Rhinolophus ferrumequinum: one gene and its partner. The protein of the gene in region 1 purifies or fractionates together with the protein of each later gene. This does not show direct contact. Links are inferred from orthologs where the notes say so. Each region holds a gene or a part of one and is shown on either strand. Other genes may lie near its edges.

Evidence for each region.
Region 2: the proteins of S100A4 (region 1) and PPFIBP1 purify together in Homo sapiens (co-immunoprecipitation; 3 studies listed by BioGRID and IntAct, with this or other methods). This does not show direct contact. The link is inferred for Rhinolophus ferrumequinum from reciprocal best matches to the Homo sapiens genes S100A4 and PPFIBP1.

Annotation. Positions count from the first base shown.
Region 1 is NC_046305.1:52,503,111-52,514,124, reverse strand, and holds S100A4 (protein S100-A4), read left to right. Parts: upstream 1-5,918; 5' UTR 5,919-6,075; intron 6,076-6,900; 5' UTR 6,901-6,915; coding exon 6,916-7,056; intron 7,057-7,765; coding exon 7,766-7,930; 3' UTR 7,931-8,062; downstream 8,063-11,014. Other genes in the region: S100A3 (protein S100-A3), read left to right, coding at 3,708-3,848, 4,288-4,452. UniProt on the Homo sapiens protein: Calcium-binding protein that plays a role in various cellular processes including motility, angiogenesis, cell differentiation, apoptosis, and autophagy.
Region 2 is NC_046293.1:38,328,599-38,339,317, reverse strand, and holds the start of PPFIBP1 (liprin-beta-1), read right to left. Parts: upstream 4,559-10,719; 5' UTR 4,524-4,558; coding exon 4,460-4,523; intron 1,258-4,459; coding exon 1,052-1,257; intron 1-1,051. UniProt on the Homo sapiens protein: May regulate the disassembly of focal adhesions. Did not bind receptor-like tyrosine phosphatases type 2A.

The DNA of each region.
Region 1 (11,014 bases):
TCGCTTCTCCCCGCTGGTCTAATAATTAAAGCAACACGAGACAGATTAACAAGAGAAAAATAATCGAGTTTAATTACATACGTATGTGTGGGAATCCCAGCGACACGAGAGGTTCAGAGGCAGAAAGTTAAACTGAGGCACATATGACGTTCTGAGCGGAGGATGAGGTAAGGTGCCTTGGGGGCGTTAGAGGTAGGGAGGGTCATAGGCGCGACGATAAAAAGAGCAGGTGTTCAGTAATTAGATGTTTACACTGCCACATAGAAGAACTTTCTGGCGATAACTCATTATAACTCATTTACGTTGCTTAAGGGAGGGGTAAACGTTTCTCGTGGGCCCACAGGGTCTCGGTTGCTTTCAGCTCAAAATAATTCACCAGCCCAAGTGACACATCTTGGGGAGGCCTGTTCTGAACCTCTTCAGAAGGGATTTCCATTTTTGGTAATACGGTGGTCTGTGCCTGCTCCAGCTAAAAACAACAACAAGAAATGCGGGATAGAATTTGAAAAAAAAAAAAAAATCTTTTTCAAAGTATTGAATGCTGACAAGGCAGGAAGGAGTGGGAAGATCAAGCTCTCAGTAAAGCAGACTCCGGGAGGCGAGGAGTGCACCAGGGCTAATAGCGCCTGGAAGACATTGGCCAAACCGAGCCAAAATGACCTTTGGCTTTGACGGTTTGTGGAGTGAAGAACACAGAGCCGAAGCCCAGGGCTCACTCGAGGTGGGCAACAAGGGGGACACTCCCCATCATACTGGGACCCTAAAGGGCTACTTGCTTCAGTTCAAAGCTGAGGAAACCCACCCCACCCCATGGGATCACAAGGAACAGTGGGGCTGAGCTCTAGTCCCAGGCAGCCCATGCAGGAGTCTGCAGCCCACCTCCACGCACAGCACTGTGGGAGGGGGTCGGGGGGGAGTGTAGCCAGAGAACTCAGCCTAGACGGACGCAAACGCCCCTAGGAGCAAAACACACCTTCCTCCTGTGCCTCAAAGTCATCCGTGGGCATTCGGAAGGATCCCCAGCACGTGCCATCCCTGGCAGGACATCATTTTGAGCTGAAGACAATGGAGGCCCCAAAGCCTAAGAAAGTACTTTTACCTCCCCTTTAACTGTCTGAAATAATTTAGGTAAAGGGCCTGGTCCAGGAAGAGCTCTATCCCCAGAGAGATCTACAAAGAATGGGGGTAGGTGTGTTGAAGGGGGGCTCAGCTGTGATTGGAGCCAGAGTCCTCTCTGAGTCCCTCCCTGACCCTTCCACATTTGCTTTTCCATCTCCATGTGAATTGTCTTCCTCCTTTTTGAAGTCCCAGATCCCTAGCCCCTTCTCCTTAGTTCAGAAGAGCACATAAGCCCCTGTCACCTGACTGCCTGTGGGCCCCGTATTCTTATGGAGCACCCCCCACGTAGGGAATGAAATGTGTTACTCTGTTAATGTGTCGTATGTCAATTTGAGTATGAGACCAGCCCAAGACCCTGGAAGGGTAGAAGGAGACTCTTTCTTCCCCAGCACATCCCGCAGCTGCCCTTCCCAGGGAGGCGAGCAGTTGGCAGCCCACAGCTACCAAACACACATCTGGGGATCAGGCAGGTGTGTCCCATGGCCTCCGTCTTCTCACCTGTAAATGAAGGGCTTAACCAGATGCTCCAAGAGGGGAACCCCTGGCGCAGGGGTTCTCTGGGGGCATAGATGTACGCCAGGCTAGAGTGTGTTCCCACATTGTATTACGGGGTGTCTGTTCAGAGTGAGGAGATAGGGAATGGATCTGATGGACTAGCCCAGCCTGTCTCCTCCAGCGACAGAAGGGGACAGGCAGGAGGCTGTCCCCAGTTCCCAGCTCTAGGGGAGGGCGGAGGGGGAATGAAGGGGTGCAGTGTCTGATGCCCAGACTGGGTCTTTGATGTGTGCGTGGATAGGTGGGCGGCCGGGCCTGTAATAGGGACTGCCAGGGAAGGAGGCAGGGAAGCCCCCGGGGGCACCCTCAGCTTGACCTACTTGGGCCCCCCATAATTGCCCTCTTCCTTCCCTGGGAGACTACAAATAGGGCTGCCCTGTCTCTAGGCTCCTACAGCTGAACCGCCAACCACCAGGGGTGAGTGCCAACTGCTTGGGTCCTGCTCTGGACTGGGGGTCGGGCAGTTCAGGGAGGGTCCCCTGGTCCCGGGTGTGGGCACGGGGGCAGAGGGATGACCAAAGCTGGGATTGATGGGGTGAGGGAAGTCACAGCTTCTCTTGTACGGTGAGGGGCTGTCGGGAAGGTTGGGTTAGGGGCGTGCAGGGCTGAGGTCTGGCCCTGGGGAGGGGCCAATGGGCTAAAAGCACTGGTGAGACCCTCAGTGAACCCCCTGCAACTCCCCTTGCCTCCGTCCTTCTTTCTTCCAACGGGTTGAGACAGGCCAGGCTGCATGGGGAACAACAGATTCCCTCGGGTTTCTAGGCACCTAGCTTCTGGAAAAGCAGCAGTGGTGGCGCCAGGCAGGCTGGCAGGAGCCCAGAGGGGCAGCTGAGCACCCGTGAGGCTTAGTCCCTGGGATCAGGGCCCTTTCCTGTCCTGGGAAGGTGGACAGCCTGCTCCAATCCTGGGCCGGCACAAAGAGTCAGACCCCGGGGGGTGCTTGGTCCCATCACCCCCGCCTCCCCCTTTCCATAGCCACAACCGTGCTGGCCATTTGCTGTACAGGGCCCAGCAGAGGGGGACTCATTAGAGGGAGAGGCTTGGCCCTGGCTGCCTTGTTACAAGACTCCTGTCCCCTGGGGGAACCGAGTGAGTCACCGGGCTCACATGAAAACAACACTTGTCTTCCTGGCTGCCTTCGGGTTTCACCAGGCTGGAGGCTCTTCCCAGAAGGCGATGCAAGGGTCCAGTGGAATGGGGTGGAGTGGGGTGAGGGGGGCAGTGCCATGAAGGGCTTCCCCTCTAACAGAACAGGGTACCCTAATGCTGAGCCTCCTGTCTCAAGACCCCCAGGGGTCCGGAGGGTGGGCTCAGCTGGGGCAGATCACAGATTGGTAAATGCCTGAGCTTGCTCCCCGACTAGGCCTGTGAGGTGGGACTGACCCCACTTTACAGATAACGCACCTGAGACCCAGGTCGGAGTAAATGGCTCACCTGGGACTGCACACCTAGTGAGAGGCAGGGGGCATTTCCTTTGGATGATGAGTCCCTGAGTTCGGGGGAGGAGGGATGGTGAAGGGTGGTGAGGTGGTGGGAGCTCCTCTCAGACCCGACCCTCCCTGACAATGCCCGGCTCCTCCAAGGGCCTGAGAACAGGGAGAGCGGGCAAGGGTTGAACGAGTTCCTACAGAAGGAGATCTGGGGTCCTGAGAGGAAGGAGCCTTCCAGGGTCGGGAGCTGCTTGTCATGGCGTGGTGCAGAGTGGGACTGAGTCCTTCCTGGGTGCTGGGGATGAGAAAAGGTGGAGAGAATCAGGGAATCCTCTGTGGGGGGGTCGGGGGAGGGCACTCTCCCTGAGGGGTTTGCAGTGATGTTGGGGAAATGAGACCTCTGTCCAGGAAAATAACAATGGGGGCACAGCACAGAAATAGATTAGCAGGTGCTGGTGTGGTCAGGGAGGGCTGCTCAGAGGAGGCGGGCTTGTGTGGAAATGAAGACAGGTCTGGGACAGGCCCGGAACATGGAGGGCAGAGGTACAGGGCGGTGACCGGGGCCTCTGCTATGGGCCACATCTTTGTTCTGTGACAGTGAGAATGGCCAGGCCTCTGGAGCAGGCGGTGGCTGCCATCGTTTGCACCTTCCGGGAATATGCGGGGCGCTGCGGGGACAAGCATAAGCTGTGCCAGGCGGAGCTCAAGGAGCTGGTGCAGAAGGAGCTGCCCACCTGGACCCCGGTGAGCCCCTGGGGTGCCCAGCCTCTGGGGAATACCGCTTGGACTCTGCACAGAGAGGCCTGGGACACGCTCTGAGCAGAGGACAGCAGGAAGTGGGGGAGGCCAGACCGTGGGGCGAGGACACCAGGCAGGAAAGTGACAGGGCAGGAATCGTTTCCTCATCACACGTGCCGCTTTGCAGGGCTGCTGGAGGATGCAGTGAGAGTACAGTAAAGAAACACACAGGAGGCCCTCAGCAGCCATAGTGGGTTGCTCCACAAATAATCTGGGAAGGAGAATGGGGGGGGGCGGGGGTCGGCACGGTGAGTTATCAGAGCAGGTCGGCCAGGTTGGGCCCAGAAGGGCTGTGGGTTGGGATGGGTGGGATCGCCCAGGAGTAGGGGGAGGGAAGCAGCGTGTGTGAGGCATCCTGCCCCCCGTGGCCCCCTCCCCCACACAGACGGAGTTCCGGGAGTGTGACTACAGTAAATTCATGAGTGTTCTGGACGCCAACAAGGACGGCGAGGTGGATTTCGTGGAGTACGTGCGCTCACTGGCCTGCCTCTGCACCTACTGCCATGACTACTTCAAGGACTGCTCCCCGGAGCCCCCCTGCCCCCAGTAGCCTCTGCCGCAGGGTCTGCCCGGGACCTGCTCCAGCTCTGCCCTGTGGGGTCCTGGGCATGGCACCCATACCCCCTGCCCTCTCTTCTGCATCCTTCTCATGTGGAATCTCCCAGGTCTGCCCCTGATATCCTAACCCCTGTTGCCTGGGGCAGGGACCTGTGAAGGGACCTGTCCCCAGGATCACAGCTAGTGACATGCAGAGCGGCCACCCGCTGCCTCCCGGCTGTGGTGTGTGATGGGAGAGGCAGGGGCGCTTTGAGACTGCCCAGGCCCCCCAGAGCATGTGCACGAAGGAGGCCCTGGTGGGAAAGGGCCTGCTGAACTCCCAATAAAGACCTGGTGTCACTCGGTGTGCTTTGGTTCTTCTTACAGGCCAGCCGGGGGGCAGTCCTGCGGAGGTCATGGCTCCTCTCTGGACTTTTCCACTGGAGGATGTCACGGGTCCAGCAGGAGGGGTGGGATCCACACAGACCGTGTTGGGCTCTCTCTGTCTCTCTCTCTGTGTCTCTCTCTTTGGGAGCCAGAGGGCAGCCGGAGCTTCCCTGGGGATGGAACTCAGTCCTCATGACAGGATGATCTGAACGGAGGGTGGGGCCCTGGGTCTGGGGCGGGGTTGTTCCCTGCCCCGGGCTGTGGGCGCCCAGAGTGGCACTAATAGGATTAGGGCGCCTGAGGTCTGATTAGGGTGCTGTCCCACACCGGGGAGGGGTGCCTGGCCTTGGAGCGGGAAGAGGAGCCCTTGAGGCAGACTCCACGCCCGAAACCACCCCCGCCTGAGGAGCTTAACCCCCACTTCTGACCTGCTCTCAATCCCTGAGTTTATACCCCACCCAAGGGGTGAATCCCCCATTTTGGGCCGTTTCACCCCTCACTTCCCACCCTGTTCGTCATTCCTGACGCCCAGCACAACTCTAAACTCCCGTTCCTGACCTCTGCCCCTCCCCGCCTGCTCTTAGTACCTTCACACCGTCCCTGAGGCCCACACCTGCCTCCCACTTCCCACTCCACCTCTGTCTCATCACTGGCAAGCTTGGTCCCAGGGCCTCCTTTGGGGGATACCTGCTTCTCCCAGCCCCCCAGCTCCTGCCCTGGGCCTCACTCAACATGGCAGAGAACACTTTGGGGAAGGGAGAAAGGCAGTGTCAGCTGTGCCAAGCGCTGAGCTTGGGGTCCCCTCCCTCAGGGCAATTTCCCACCTGTCACCCACCACCCCTGGACCCCCTTTCCTAGCTGCTGGGTGGGACCACTTGCTCCCTGTCTTCTATGCTCCAGGCACAGACTGTCCCTTCCTCCAGTTCCCTAAAACTCAGGCTGAGCTGTGTACACTGGGGGGAGGAGGGGTGGGGCTGAGGCCCCTGCCTGCGCCCACTGGGGCTCGCCCATTGTCTGTGGCTGCCAGGGGCAGGGAGCTGCATTTCTAGGCTGGGCTGGTGGGCGGGGGGCGGGGAGGGGGGCCTGGCATGCATCACACAGGCCGGGCAGAGGGTTGTCTCCCGTTCTCCCCCATCCTCTGCCATGGGCAGGGCCTGCCCAGGGTATAAATAGGTCCAACCGCTGGGCTCTCCCCATTCTTCCTGTCTCCCCAACCCTCTCTTCTCAGCGTTTCCTCTCTCTCGACCTGGTGAGTTGTGGTCGCATGACTGGCACGCATCGGGTGTCAGGCTGAGGCTGGGACAGGAGAAGGGGAGGCTGGTGGGGGCCAGATGTGCTAAGTGGGTCCAGATGTGCGGTTCCGATGTGGAAGCTCTGGGGTGGGATGCATGTGTGCGCGCCCGTGCATGAGCAAGGGAGAACGGAAACAAAAAGAAAGACGCGTGCGGTTGGCTGGATTCAAGCTCTCTATAGTATGTTGTGTGGCTGTAGTGTTGTCCTGGTGCATGTTTGACTCGTGGGTGCGCACATTGGCTTGTGTTTGCTGGGCTGCACAAGCCTGTGTGTGCACACTCGGGTGTGGGAAGCAAAGTGAAGTCAGAAGGCAACCGTGGGCTTTTGTCTGGCAGTGTCCCATCAGCCTCTGGCCAGCTCCAGCAGCCCAGCCCAAACTTGGCCTCCCCGGCCCTCGCCTGCATCCCTGCCTCTGCCACCTCACCCTGCCCTCCCTACGCTAGACCCCGGGTTTTTTCCATGCTGGGCAGGCCTCCAGCAGCCTCGCCCAGCATTGGGGGGGGGGGGGGGGGCGGGGAGAATGGGCTGGGCGGGCTGCTGTGGGCTGAGCTGTGGGACCAAAAGGACTGAGTGCGCCCTGGGAGCTTGCATGCTGAAATCCAGGGCCTGCATGCCTGAAATCCAGGAAGTGTTTGCTGCCTGAAGCATGCATTTCCCATGGTGCACGCCCTCCCCACCAGGAGCTGAGACCCACCTTTCCCAGCTCCCCCTGTGGCATGGGAGTGGGTGGGGCATAGCTGGGGTGGGGTGGGGAAGATAAGGATGCCTCTGTGACCCCCAGATCCTGACAACCACCATGGCACAACCTCTGGAGAAAGCCCTGGACGTGATGGTGTCCACCTTCCACAAATACTCAGGCAAGGAGGGTGACAAGTTCAAGCTCAACAAGTCGGAGCTAAAGGACCTGTTGACCCGGGAGATGCCCAGCTTCTTGGGGGTGAGTGGCTACTGCCTGGAAGTATGTCCCCCAGTGGTGTGTCCCCGTCAGAGGCTGGACAGGGCCCTGGGAGGCACCAGTCTTTCTGCAGGGCAGTCATTGCCGCGGGCATCTGTCACGGAGGCGGGTGGAGACGTGGTGAGCACCTGTCACTCATTTCCTGGCGCCCAGCAGAAAAGGGGGCTGAGAACGAACAAGCTGTTAGGGACCAGGCAGTCGGCCAGGGGCTTGGCACGACCGACCAGAAGGGCAACTCACGCTCTGAGGGGCTAAGGAACTTCCCAAGGTAGTCAGCGTGCAAAGCTGAGGTCCACGAACCAGGGCGGTCCACCTCTTGCCATCACTGCAGCAAAGAACCATTTTTTGAGTTTCTATTTGGTTTTTACCTGTGAAGAAGGCACAGTTACGGAGACACTCACACGCCTATTTCCCCTGAGCAATCCTAGCTCCATCTGTATCAAACTTTATGCAACTTAGACATATATTGCTTTCATGACGATTGTCCCCCCGGGGGAGAGATGTGGTCCCCTTTTCCAGTTGCATCCAGGTACTCTCCCTCCCTAGCTTGGCCCTGAAGACTGGAGTTCCAAAGCTGGGCCCCCCAGGAGTGGCTGCACCTGCCTGAGCTCCGTCTGCAGGAAGAAGCCTGCTCTAGTTTTGGCTCTGTCCCCAGACTCCCGGTTTCTACCTGTAACCTCTCCCCCTGCAGAAACGGACGGATGAGGCCGCTTTCCAGAAGCTCATGAGCAACCTGGACAGTAACAGGGACAACGAGGTCGACTTCCAGGAGTACTGTGTCTTCCTGTCCTGCATCGCCATGATGTGCAATGAGTTCTTCGAGGGCTTCCCTGATAAGCAACCCCGGAAGAAATGAGGGCTCCCCAGATGCGAGTGGGGGGCCTGCCAGCTGGGGTCCACCCTGGGGGTAGTGGGCACAGAACCTCACTCGGGCTTCTTCAGACATGTGTACGATGCTGAGCAAGTCAATAAAGATTCTTAGAAGCTACGAGGCTGATGGTCTGAGACTCTGTGGGGGTGTGGGGTGGAAGCTGAGGGATTTGGGGGGGTGCGGGACTCTGGGTGTAGGCTGCAGTTTTGTGGAGACTAGTGAAGGTGGGGGAGGGATGTGGGCTGACTGTGTGTGTGTGTGTGTGTGTGTGTGTGTGTGTGTGTGACAGCATTGACTCTGAAGAGACCGGGGGCAGGAAGGGGGCCCCCAGAGGCTTGGACCGCCCGAGCTGTGGGACCTTATCCAAAGCACCCGCCCCTCCCACCTCCCTCACCTCGCCTCTGGCAGGACCTCTAACTGAGGCTCGGTGGGATTGAAGATCACATCTGCTCCTGGTTGGGGTTTGGAAAGGAGTTTGGGTGCCCTGGGGGTGAGGTGGGGAAAAGGGCTGAGTCACGGGGAGCAGCGAGGCCCGTGTGGAATGTGGAGAAGGGCTCAGTCCCGCCGTCCACAGCCCAGGCCCTGCCCTGCCACCGCCCTCCAGCGCCTTGGCTCCCAACCCCAGGGGGATGTCCCCACAGATCAGGGAGGCGCTGTGGGGGTGGCCAGGCCATTGCAGCAGCCTGAGAATGTGTCCTTCTCCAACCCCCGGGTCTGCCCCAAAGGCCCTGCGGTGAGTGACATCTGTTCTTAATTATTAATCATGTTCTTTCAGAGAAGGACAAAGGACCTTGGAAGGGATGAGTGGAGGACAGTGGCTGGGGTGGGAGAGAGGGAGATGGTGGGAGGCGACTGTAATTTTGGAGACAAAACTCCAGACACAGAAATAAAGTTGAGATTCCCCACCCTCAAGAAAATACCAGGCACGGGATTGCTTCTCCTTAGGTTAAAAGCCAGTAGCCCAGTGTGCAGTGGGGACCGCTGAGGGTAGGTTTCCAGGCCATGCCTGGGTGGGATGGGGACCTTTGGGAAGAGCTGAGTAGAGAGGGCAGGTCCAGAGGCAGGAGGGTTGGGTCCCCGTGACCGTTGGAGCTTTGCCCTTTTCTTCTCATCACATGTGTTGTTCTCTCAAGTTTCAGAAGAGTTGGGTAGGTGACTCAGATACTCCGTCAGAGTGTGACTACAGAGACTTGGGTGGAATTTTAGTCCAGGAAAAAGTGTTCCTCCTCCCTCTTCTCTTTCCTCATCCATGGGCGTGCGCTCGCCTGAGCCTCCTGCATCACTCTCTACCTGGGAACTCCTGTTGCTAGGCGACCAGTCCTGGCTGCCTCTCTAGTGCAGTGCGGAGGATCCAGGCAGACTAGGGTGGGGCCGCAGCAGCCGTAGGTCCTAGACCCCTCACTCGGTCCTGTTCTTAGACTTGGGCTGCTTGGTGGTAGAACACTGTCTGAGTCTCTCCTGGGTCCCAGGCAGCTATCCCTGACCCCTACCCGGTTCCTTATTGCGTTGGAACCCGCTCTCCCCAGTCCACAAGCTCTACCCCATCCCTAGGCCCTCTCCTTCCCTAACCCCCGCCCCAATCCCTGTCTCTCAGCCCTCCATTCCAACGGTCTCTGACGATTCTTTCCCAGGAAGATGATTGAGGTTTAGGAGAAACCATTTGAAAGCCCTTTAAAACCCTCAGGCTCCCGACCAGCTAATGACCTTGACCTTGACCATGCCCTTGGCAGGAAACATCGTCCCCCACTCATTCCCCCACTGGATTCGTCCCCAGTCCTGTCCCAGGAGGCTCTGACCTGGGTCTCCTCGTGTCCCTGGCCTCTTCTCATTGGCCCTGCCCCTGCCCTGGTTTCCCAGAGACTGGAGAGAGGGAATAAAGGCAGAGAGCAGTGGGAGTGAGCCTACTTCTGCTGCCTGGGTTCCCTGGCTTATTTCTTCCTCGGTGAGTCCTTCTGTCTAAGCTCCCTACCTGTCTATATGGTGGGGCAAGCTGGGATGAGGCCAGGGTGTGAAAAGCCGTGGTGACCTCCACCAAGGAAGACCCAGCTCGATGAGTGGGGCACGTGCTCAGGGAGGAGGGCAGGGAATTTGGAACTGTGGCTATCAGCCTTTCCTGAGAAGGGGTTTTGGGGGAAAGGTGGGAATCAGAACCAGCCAAGACGCTGTTGCAGACGCCCCTGCGTCTACTGCGGTCTTGGCTGAGTCTCCTGGAGGTGGGGAGAAGCTGAGTTTTTTGGGAGGTGGGAGGTGAATGACAGGTCTGGTTCAAGAACTGGCTTCTTCCTGCTTGCTCTGGACTCTGTACAGATTTACCTGCAGCCCTCAAGTTCCCTGGGTGTTGCCTCCTTCCTCCCTCAGGGGGAAGTGGTTTCCACATCTGAGTCACGGGAGCTCCAGCTGCCACTTCCCGTGGGTGGGTGTGGCTGTGCTCCGTTCTACACCACCTCTGGATCCAGCTCTCAAATGATCCTGGAGATTTTCAGAGGCCCCCACCCTCCCTGCTAGTGTGTGTAGTTCCCTGAATGGGAGACTGAGACCAGCTGGACAAGTCCAAACACCTCTGTCCTGTTTCCTGTTGAGACCTCACCTCCCAGATCCAGCCCCAGCCCCCTCCAATCTCTGGACTCTCTCCTTGCCCTGTCCCCCGCTTCTATAATGGGACGATCCCTGATATCAGGAGATTCAGGCAGCCGGGCAAAGGAAGGTGACTAGGGTGAGGAAAATGAGCTGGGTGGGGCAGGGAGAAATCCTGGCTCCTTTTCTGCTCCATCGTCTGCCACTAGTTCTTCTTTTGGGGAGGTCATCTCATCATCCCTTTGCCATTAGAGCCCTTTTTTAACACCCCCGAAGCAGGACAGTGTGTGGTCTCCTTTGGGGGGTGGTCAGTTTCACTGCTCTGGCTGTTCCAAGTGTGCCTTGGGTCTCACTAGAGCCCGTGCTGACATATTTGGGTTCACTTGGTGGATCGGTCCCAGTCTCTGGTCCTTGAGGGAGGGGCCTGGGAGCTGGGCTAGTGAGGGGGCAGCAGAAGGTCTGGCTTCCCAGGAAACGTGACCCGCCCCCTCCTTT
Region 2 (10,719 bases), on another chromosome or scaffold:
GAAGGTAACAGATAATATATTATTTATATTATATTATATTATACACAGTCCTATATTATATTAAAATAAGACCAGGTCTTATATTAATTTTTGCTCCAAAAGATGCATTAGAGCTGATGGTCCGGCTAGATCTTATTTTCGGGGAAACACGGTAAAAACACTCCGCATGGCCCGGTCGGCACCAGTATTTTGTGTCATGTCATGTGAACATGTTTTAGCTGTAGGATGTAGATTATGGTTCCCAAAGAAAATATTAGTAACTTCCATACCTACCACAGATCCAAAAATAGACCTTAATTCTTTCATACAATTTTCATTGGCCTTTATATAAACACAATTAATTCATAAGCTTATTAATGTACCTTCCTCTAAATACTTAGGAAATAATACTTTTTCTATCTTCTCCTTTGAATATGTTTTTGTGATAGTCTATTGATTTTATGTGTTTGACACATATTAAATCCATGGTATTTACCATTGTATTCAGGGAAAGGGGAGATCTGCCATATCATCAATTTTTGAGAAGGATGCCTAGAAAGAGACCTCATTGTTCAGTGACTAAGAACATCATTTAAAGCCCAACTCCACAACTTAACTCGCACACTGTAATTGAAATGACTGCCACAAACCACTAGATGGCCCTTCATATCAAATATTGCTAAAAACCGTTGCTTTTTGAGGTCTGTTCACTGTACTGCCTATTTAGAATTGCTTTTTACAGTAAACCGCCCAATATTATTGAGAGAGTATCTGTTATGTGCATTCTTTCTCTTACTGGACTATTTGTTCTCAGCCACAATAGGTCATTCTGATATAATCTCAAAGCTAGTCCAGTACTATAAGAATAATCAGGTGACAACCTGCTGGCACTCATGAAATGTACACTAACAGCACTTTAAAAAAATTATCCTTAGAATCAAAATGGAATTGGGATATCTTAAGGGCAAACCTGTTGCCCTATAATTTTCATTCTTGTTCTAGTTGGCTACAAATTTTGGAAAAAGAAGCAAAGAGATTCACAGCATGGGATTTGTAACATGCAGACACCTACCATTTGACTCTGAAGCCATTCAATGAGCGTTTCTGCTGTTGAATCTGGAATCTGGCATCTCAAGCCTTCCTTCTCATCCGTTTCCATCATCTCTAACAATCCACGCAGGTCTTCCACAAGGTGCAGAGCTCGCAAGCTTCCCATGAACGGAGAGGTGGGAGACTGGCAATCAAAAATCCCATTGGAATATTCCAGAGCCTTAGAGCCTAGGATAAAAAAAAAAACAAAAACAGTCACAGAGAAAGCAACAGAATTTATATTAGATAACAAACTAAAGCTGAAGGTGGCAAGCAAGTCCAGTCACAGTGAGCAATAACCAAAACAAAAAAAAAGGGAAAAGACAATTCGATCATGTAAATCTCTCCAAGGCATAGTTATCTAGTGCAAAAATTAAAACTACATAATTGATGGTAAATATCAGTGGTCAAATACCTAACAGAGAAGCCAACTGTGTAGTATAGTAAGAGGATAGTGAGCTTTGGTGTAAGATGTGCTGACCTTGTAGAAAGAAGGGGTAAGAAGGTAGCAGATAAGTTTGTGGGGAGCCATGCATTCCAAAAAACACAAATTTTAGGGGCTATAAAGTCTTTAAATTTCCTATAAATAAGTTACACATTGAGGTGGAAATTGCACAGCATAATTTCAAAGGTAAGAGGGTCAGCTCCCAGTTAACTTACCAGAATTTAATCTCTGAAGAAGTTCAATGATTACCTGTGTATACTCATACTTGTACATGTACGAGTATGTATGGGCCTGTGTATGTAAACATCTTCCCCATGATTGTTTGCAGCCTAACATCAAATGCTCTTGTTAATTTTGGCTTTAAAAAAAAAACAGTTTTACAGCCATTTTTGTTTTCTATTATTTATAAAACATTCTGCTACTTAAATCCACATAACTGACCCACAGCCCTTTCTGAAAGCACTCGTATGTACCTCTTCATATCTTAGATTTTTATTTTCTGGTCTGTCAAATATACATACTATCAAATATGAATACTGACTTTATACTTAAATATCAGTAATTATGATAATTAGGTTATCACCTCATGAATCTGAAGCTCTTACAATTGGGTGAGACCTGTGAAACAATGTGTAAGTTCTCTGCCCAGTTGGCCATCTGGCTTGATCAGTTCTAACAATGGGGAGAGGAATTCCCTTCCAGCTAATCCAACCCATTGATCTACCTAATACTGGGACAAAATCTGCTAAACTCTAATAATGGCAACCATTAATACGTTAGGCACAATGCTAACTAAATGCTTCACGTAACCCTCGAATCAATCCCCTCAAGATCCTTGTAAAGCTGAAATGAGAACGCAGAAAAATATGCATTGAGGAGAGTATGTCAGGGGGAGGGAGGGACAGAAAAGCATTAAAAACCAGACAGGCTCTAATGTCTTATTCCTCAGTTTTAAGCAATAGGATCACCTGATGATATTATTAAAAATACATGAGCCCATGATAACCCTCTATCCTGTTAGGTCTCTGTCACAAAACAAAATGGGGATAAGGGAGAGATGTGTATTTAGAAAAATTCCCCAAATGTTTGTAGTCATTTCTCCTCCTCTCTCTCTCTTACCTCAGTTGGAGGTATAATGTTAACAGAGGTTAATTTGAAAACATAAATCCAGATCCTACCCACAATGCTACTGGACTGACTTAGTTTGAGGTGGGACCTAAGGAATCTTGATTTTCTTAATAACTCTAATGTTGACAGGAACAAATACACTAATCTAGTGCAGTATATAAAATATAAATCCTTCAACTACTGTTGCAGAAATAGCACTTCTCTCATCTTCATTTTCACTACAAGTGTAAGGTTAAAACTTCTGGTAAGAGTCTAGAATTGGTTCTAGTTATATTTTCTGAAATTGTGACAGAGTAATGCCCCAAGCAACAATACACTTTTCTAGGTTAAGTATAACCAATTCCTTACTAGATGTGGTGGTTAAACTCTTTGCCTTCGTGCTAACCTCCTCTAGATAAGTTTTAGTATTCCAGTGATCCTTTGAAAATGATATTCCATGAACTGAATACAGTACTCTAAAGGTATGGTCTTATCTACAAAGGAGATCAAATTGAAGTCGGGTCTCCAAGACATGTAAGTATAACAAAGGAGGCCAAACCATGACATGCCACTTCCCTCAAAAGAAGAACCTTCTGAAAAGGAAAGCACTTACGGTTTCTCAAACCACCCAAACAGAGTAGAATCGAATTTATGACAAAAAAAAAAAAAAAGTACGCAGCTGGGGCAGGAAAACTAGAATCCTGGAGCAGTAAACGCCAGCTGTATCCTGACCCTGATCAACAAGTACATTCATGACAACCCCACCCAATAGCCCATTCAACCTTCTTCCCGTAGTAATGGGTATTTGAGACAAAATACAAAATGTGACACGAGACCTTAGGTAGCCACCACTCTTGAGAGACTGCAAGGGAGTGAAAGGGTTCGCCTATTAACTAGTCAGTCCCCTCAGCCATGATGAGAAAACTAGGAAGTGATGGTCTGCTGCTTTTGCTCAGCTTCCATAATAGAGAACTGCTGAAGATTCTTAACAAGGAAGTAATATGATCAGACTGGGCTTTAGAAAGGTGATTCTGGTGTTTTAGAGAAAGATGGACTAGAGCAGGAAAGCAAGAGTGTCAGGAACATCAAATGAGAGCATTACTTAGATAAAGCAAGACAATGGTAGCATAGACAGGACAGATTTTAGACAGGGGAAAAAAGAGAACGATAGAATTTGGTATGAGGTAGAATTGATAGAACTTGATTGACTAAGTTGGGGGATATGAGGGACAAAAGTGTGTAGAATGACTTAAATTTCTGTTTAGGAAACTGTGTGGATGAAGGGCTATGAAATTAGCTGAAGACTACTAGAGGGGTTTCTGAGGAAAGAAAATGAACTCAATGTTTTAAATAATGACACTGATGTGTCTATACAGGACATTTCAGGGGAGATATATGATTGGCAGTTAGAGACAGGGACTTGAAGCTTAGCAAAGAATTGGAAAAGTAATTAGATGTGAGAGTCACTGGTGGAAAAGTGTTGAATTCAAGGGAACAGATCAGAACATTCATGGGTACTAGGTAGAGCAGTATCCCTCAAAGTGTGGTCCACATACTGCCAGCACCCGAATCACCTGAGAAGCAGATTCATTATCCTTGATCAGAAGCCTAGGATAGTACTGAAACTTTTGACATTTAAAAATAAAATTTAAGAATAATTCTGGAAGAAAATGGAGAAGAGGAACAAATATAGTACCATAGGGAACCAAACTAAAGTTGTTGGAGAGAGACAATAAATGAAAATAAGAAAATGGAAAGATAATAAAAGAGTTATAATGAAAAAGCCATGAGAGCAGAATAAATGGCATGGTTCCATTTTTTTTAGAGGATGCAGATTACCTGCTATAATACCATCCATTTGCTCCAACGCTGCAGCCAACATGTCACTTGCATCACTCATCATTTTGATATTCGTCAAGGGCAAATTCCAACCTAGATCTGAAAAAACAAAGATGTTAGCATTACATCCTCTAAATGATACACACTTCCTGGCAGGTTTGATAATTCAACTTCAAATTATAGCTCCGCCTAGCAGACAAATACGGAGAATGCCTAAGTAGTAGAGCTGAATTAACTGAACCATTTAACAAGTGTGGCCAATATTCATCTACTGTACTGCAAGACCACGTGCTACACCTGTGTCAGTTAATAAAATAAGTAAGATTCAGTTCTTGCACTCAAGGTGTTTAAAATTCAGCAGAATGGTTCCCATGCTGTTCTCTGTAAAGCTCTAGTTCCCTGTGACAGGCATTGGGGATGGCTGTGGAACCCTGTTGAGGGCCATGAGGCATGCTGGGTAGAGAAGACTTCTTTTTCCCTGCACCAGCCTTACCCAATCTCTGCTCATTTAATTTTGCCTTTTTTTCTTTATAGAGAATTAATTTAATTGTAAGACTTTGCCTAATAAAATGGTTCATGAACAAATATACTATACACACATATCTGTCATTTTATAATGTAATAGTAGTAACCATGTACTGAATGCCTACAGTGGTCCCTATATATTTACATAAATTATCCATAATCCTTAATCATGACAAGACCCTATAAAACGGATAAATTCATCTCCATTTTATAATTGAGACCAAAGACGTTTGTTGTTTTGTATAGAAACATAGCAAATAAAGCAAAAAAAAACATTTTTAACCTAGATCTGTACTATTTCCACGATAATACTGAATTTCTGTTTATTTGAGCCTATCTGAATGATAGGTTTATACTGAAATTGTGTCAAAAACTACTCCCTCTTTTGCCTGTTAAAAAATCGAAATTATCCTTGCAACAAATTTGGTCATTAACAGGAAAAAGTCAAATTATGTGATCTTCAATATTATTTAATGCATTTCAGGTACCTGTCTAAGCATCCACATAAATTCTCCCAACAGGCCTAAAGAAGGCTCTTGCTACTTTGCAGATACTGTGATGTACCTGCATCACAGACGCACAGTAGCAGAACAAATAACATGAGAAATAAAGATTATGCTATTTCACAGAAACCTTTGCCCTCTGTTTCCAAGCAGCCAGATTTCACTTACCACTTTATCTTTACAAACACATTTACAATTCTGATGAACAGCTTCTTGGATCAGTTCTCTATTGGGTATTCATTCCAATAAAATGTCATTTAATCATTGTGAAATATTACTTTGATTTTATAGCTTTTATAGATTGCATCTAAGAATTTGCCAGAACTTTACTCACTTCAGAAAATATAAAATATCACTACCATGTTATGTGGAAATACTACAGCACAAAAATCCCCAAGGCATGTGTTTACAGTCACCCAGATATCAGAGGGTTAACAAGCAAGGTTATGAACCTAGGTAGTTCTTAAAAATTTACTTGCATATTTAGCTAGTGAACAATTCAAGAGGTGAGGCATCAATTTAATAATCACATTTCAGGAGGAATACTTAAAATGTGAAAATTGCAAACAAAGATTAAGCCAAATAGCATACAGTCATTGACTTTCATATAATTAAGTGGCTTGCATTCCGTTTCATTTTAAAAGTTGCACTTCAAAGAGCTTTAGATACTATGGTATATATATATATATATATATATATATATATATATATATATATATACGCACACACACACACACGTATATATATATACATACACACACAAAAACATATATCATAGTATACACACACATATATAATCATAGTATACGCGCGCGCACACACACACACAGACATACAGTGTGCCAAAAAAAGTATACACATTTTAAGAAAGGAAAAAACTGTATTAAAATTGTGATATTCAATATATACCGATAACAAAAGATGAATACAAGTCATGTCAGGCTCAGCTATAAATATAAAACATGAGGAATGCTAATAAAACAAAGTGATGCTCACATTGAAAAGAGTCTCATTGCCTCACTAAATCAGAAAAACAAATATTTGCCTTTGGTAGCAATTATATTTTGTGTAGAGCATGAACACGTTCAACTATAACAAGTCATTATCTATTTCTTCACTGTTCTGTTCATAGAGCCTTTCAAATACTACAGCATGGAGGTATGAAAATGCAGGCCATGCTTTTCAAAGCGGTAAAAACCCATTTTTAAAAAACTTGTCAATTCTTTAGAGACCAATCCTTTGTTTACTATCATAAAAATATGATGCTATTACATTGTTATAAAAGTTTATAAATGCTTACTCTTGATCTCTACATGTATCACGTAATAACCAACATGTAACTGTAAGAAGAAGACAGTGAGAACAATAAATATGTATGTAATATGTATGGCAAAGGCGGTAGGTGATTAGGGTTAAAAATGGACAGGACAAGAGGGGCCAGGAGTTTAGAGGGGTTTGCAAATTAAATAGGAAAGTCAGGGACAGTGACAGATTCAGAGGCCAAAGATCTCTTTAATATGTTAAAAGTAGTTAATTATAGGTGGTCAAGTTCAGTGGTATTCCAAATATAGAACTTCTATGAATCAATTAAAAAATGGGATGGGTGAGGGCATTAACAGGCATATAATAGAAGAAACACTTTTAACCAATAAAAATATGAAGAGATGCTTACTGTATTAATAACCAAGGAATTTAATACCACAGTGTGATACTGTTTTACATCCAGTCTGTTGGCACAAAAAAAAAAAAAATTAACACTACCAAGTAATGTAGTGGATATGGATTCATAGAATCTCTTCTAGAATGGTGGTGGGAATGTAAAATGAGCTAAAATTAAACATTCATACTCATTTTCAATCTAACATTATTGGCTCCCAAAGTATATAACCACAAGCAATACACAAATGTTCACAGTAGGACTCTTCACAAGGACAAAAATGTGGAAATGACCCAAATGTCCATCAATATGAAAAGAGATGAATAAATTGGTATAATCATACAATGGAATTGCATACAGTTGTCAAAACTAAAGAAATGTATGTATAGTATGAACAAATCTATGCAATATAATAGCAAATAAAAGAGTAAGTCTCTGGTAAATTCAGCAAGACATTTTATAAAATTAAAAATAATTAAATACAAATATACATATGAACTATATATAGACTCAGGGTAAGCACGTGCACAAATTAAAAAAGGAATGATAACATGAAATTCAGAATGATGACTACCTCAAACCAGGGACATATTGGGACAGACTAAAAAAAGAGTTACATAGGTAAACGAAGGTCAACGTCAAGTTTTTGAGTCATAATTATGAATTCAAAAGTGCTTACTGCATTATTTAAAATGATAAAATGAGAATTCCATTGCTGATAATGGTAGAATATATTTTATAGGACAAATTATCCCACAAATAGCAATATAAAACACTACATGAAAACAATTTTGAAGAAATAAGAGAGCCACAGAAGCAGGTAAAAACTGGAAGGAATTCATTCTTGAGTAAAGGGAACCATATGAGTGAGATTCAGGTTTATACATCTTTTCACCTGTGGACACCTCTCAGTCCATGTGATGCAGAGTTGCTAGGACTCCTGAAGAAAATCACAATCTTTTTGGTTCAAAGGATAGAAGGGGATACAGTTCCTACATTATATACAAAGATGTTTAATACTAATTCATGGTAGACTGTGGTAAGCTAAGAATATACAATGTAATCCATTAAAACTTTAAAAAAAGGACATATAAATAAAAAAGCCAATTAGGATGATGAAATGGAATACTAATAAAAACCTCAATTAATCTGGAAGAAGACAGTTATGGTGAACAATGGAGAGATGGGATAAGCAGAAATCAAATGGCAAGATGGTAGATTTAAACTCAATGGTATAATCACATTAAATATAAATGAAATAAACACTATTAAAAGTCAGACTGGTTTAAAAAAAAAAGACAGATCTAACTATATGCTATTAATTAAAAATATAAAGTGAAAAAATGAAAAATGAGATGACATGCACACAGTAAGCCTAGGAAAGCAGGAGTGGCTATATTAATATAAGAAAAATAGCTCCCAATCAAAGAATATTACTGGAAAGCTATTTTATAAGGATAAGAGTCAATTCATCAGGAGGTCGTAACAATTCCAACTTTTTTTTGCAAGTAATAACAGAGCTTCCAAATACATGAGGCAAAAAACAACACAATTGAGGGAGAATTTCCCAAATTAAATCCATTTGTATTTAATCTAATTGTTGATATGGTTAGAGTTAAGTTTACTGTCCTGCCATTTTTTTTCTGTTTGCTCCATCTGTCATTTGTTTGTCCTTTTCAACATTCTTTTGGAATGGTAGACAAGATAGGAAAAAGAATCCAGTAATACTATAGAAGATTTGAACAACACCATCAACCATTTTGATCTAATTTAATTTATAAAACAAAGCACTCAAACGCAGAATATACATTCTTTTCAAGTCCACGTTATATTCACCACGATAGACCATGTATGCAAAGCCACAAAAATAAGTTTCAGTAAGTTCCAAATGGGCTTTAAAGCAGGACACAGAAGACTAACAACAGCCACCTGAGCGGTCAAGTACTAATACTAAGAACAGAATTTCCATATATATTAAAATTCTGACTTGTCCATGGCTTGAGTTATTTCAGAGGCAGCCTAATTTAGTGAACATCTGTGTTGATAAAGCTATGTCAATTGTCATGGCTGGGTCAAAGTATTTTTAAAAATAGAAAGGCTACATAAAAAGGCTTCTGAAAATCCCACACTATTAAAAAGATTTTCCTATATCCTCAAAATAATTTCTGAGAGGAAGATTCGCCTGGGTGTCCTCACATACTTAATACAATGGATGTTATTCCAATACAATGGAATATTACTCCACAATAAAAAAGACTGAACTATTGATACATGCTACATTGTGTTGAGCAAAAGAAGCCAGACATAAACAACTATGTACTGTATGATTCCTTTTATATAAAATTCAAGAATAGGCAATCTATGGTGATAGAAGGTAGAACAATAGTTACTTTTAGGAAGTGGCAAATAATTAAAGGAGATACTGGAGGACTTCCTGCTCAGTATGTTGATTGAGGTTTGGTTACACAAGTTTATACATTTGTCAAAACTCATCAAACTACACATTTAAGATGTATATATTTCACTGTATGTAGATTTCATCTCAAATTTTAAAAATTAGGAATAAAGATGATTTTTAGAAATTAAAAATTGTATTTTAAAATGAACTAAATAAATGGATTAATGTAAGTAGGAAATGCATGGACTTACAGTGATAATATGTCATGAATCAAGGATAATGAATAATCCAATTACAGACCTGAGGTCCAAAATAAAAGACTCAAGACTATCCACGGCCCTTTGTTCTAATTCTTTGCTTATCTAGAAAACTGATTATAATTTCTTCTTTTGGGTGGACAAAACTATTTAGAAAATTAAAACTTTAACATCTAATGATTCTTACATGATAGCAAGTTCATTTCTGGATTCTATATAGCTAATATATACTTCTCTGAATAACTTGCTGAAGGCAGCTACCAGGAAATATAGCTACAACAAAGGAATAAGGTTTGGGTTCAAGGTCATAGTTCAAACTGGAGAAACCCCTTACTTGTTGGGTGATATAAAGAGAAGACCAGCTGTGTTTGCAGGAGTCCTCAATCCAGTAGTTTTCTATCCCAATGGCTTAATAAAAATAAGCTTAGAAAAGTCTTCAGAAAAGTAATCTACTGGGAATAATATTCATATATTAGAGTAAGTGTCAAAAAAAGACCCAACAGAAGCATGTTTTGTGTATATTTCAAGCTTGGTTAGGACCCATTTAGAGCAGATTTGAATGGGATAAAATATCAGGGAAAGTTCCAGCAATGGGTGTGGTGGCTAAAGGGTTGGCAGAAAATGAAAATTTTTTGCAAGGTTGCTGACTAACTGATGTTTTAAGTCAGGCTGGCTGCCCAGTCTCTCTGTGAAGAAAGAAAGGCTGTTCGAAAATTACAAAGTTTGTTTTAAACTTTGGTTAGAATGACACTTATCCTAGCTTTCTCAGCTTTCCTTAGGTAAAATGTTCAGGTTTGAAAAGAGAACCTCTAATTTTGTGCTCAGAGACCGGTACAGTTCACTGAGATGAATAAAACACTTAAAAGAAGAAATCCCTTCATTGCAAGAGAGAAAGTTTACATACGTTCCACTAGGCTGGT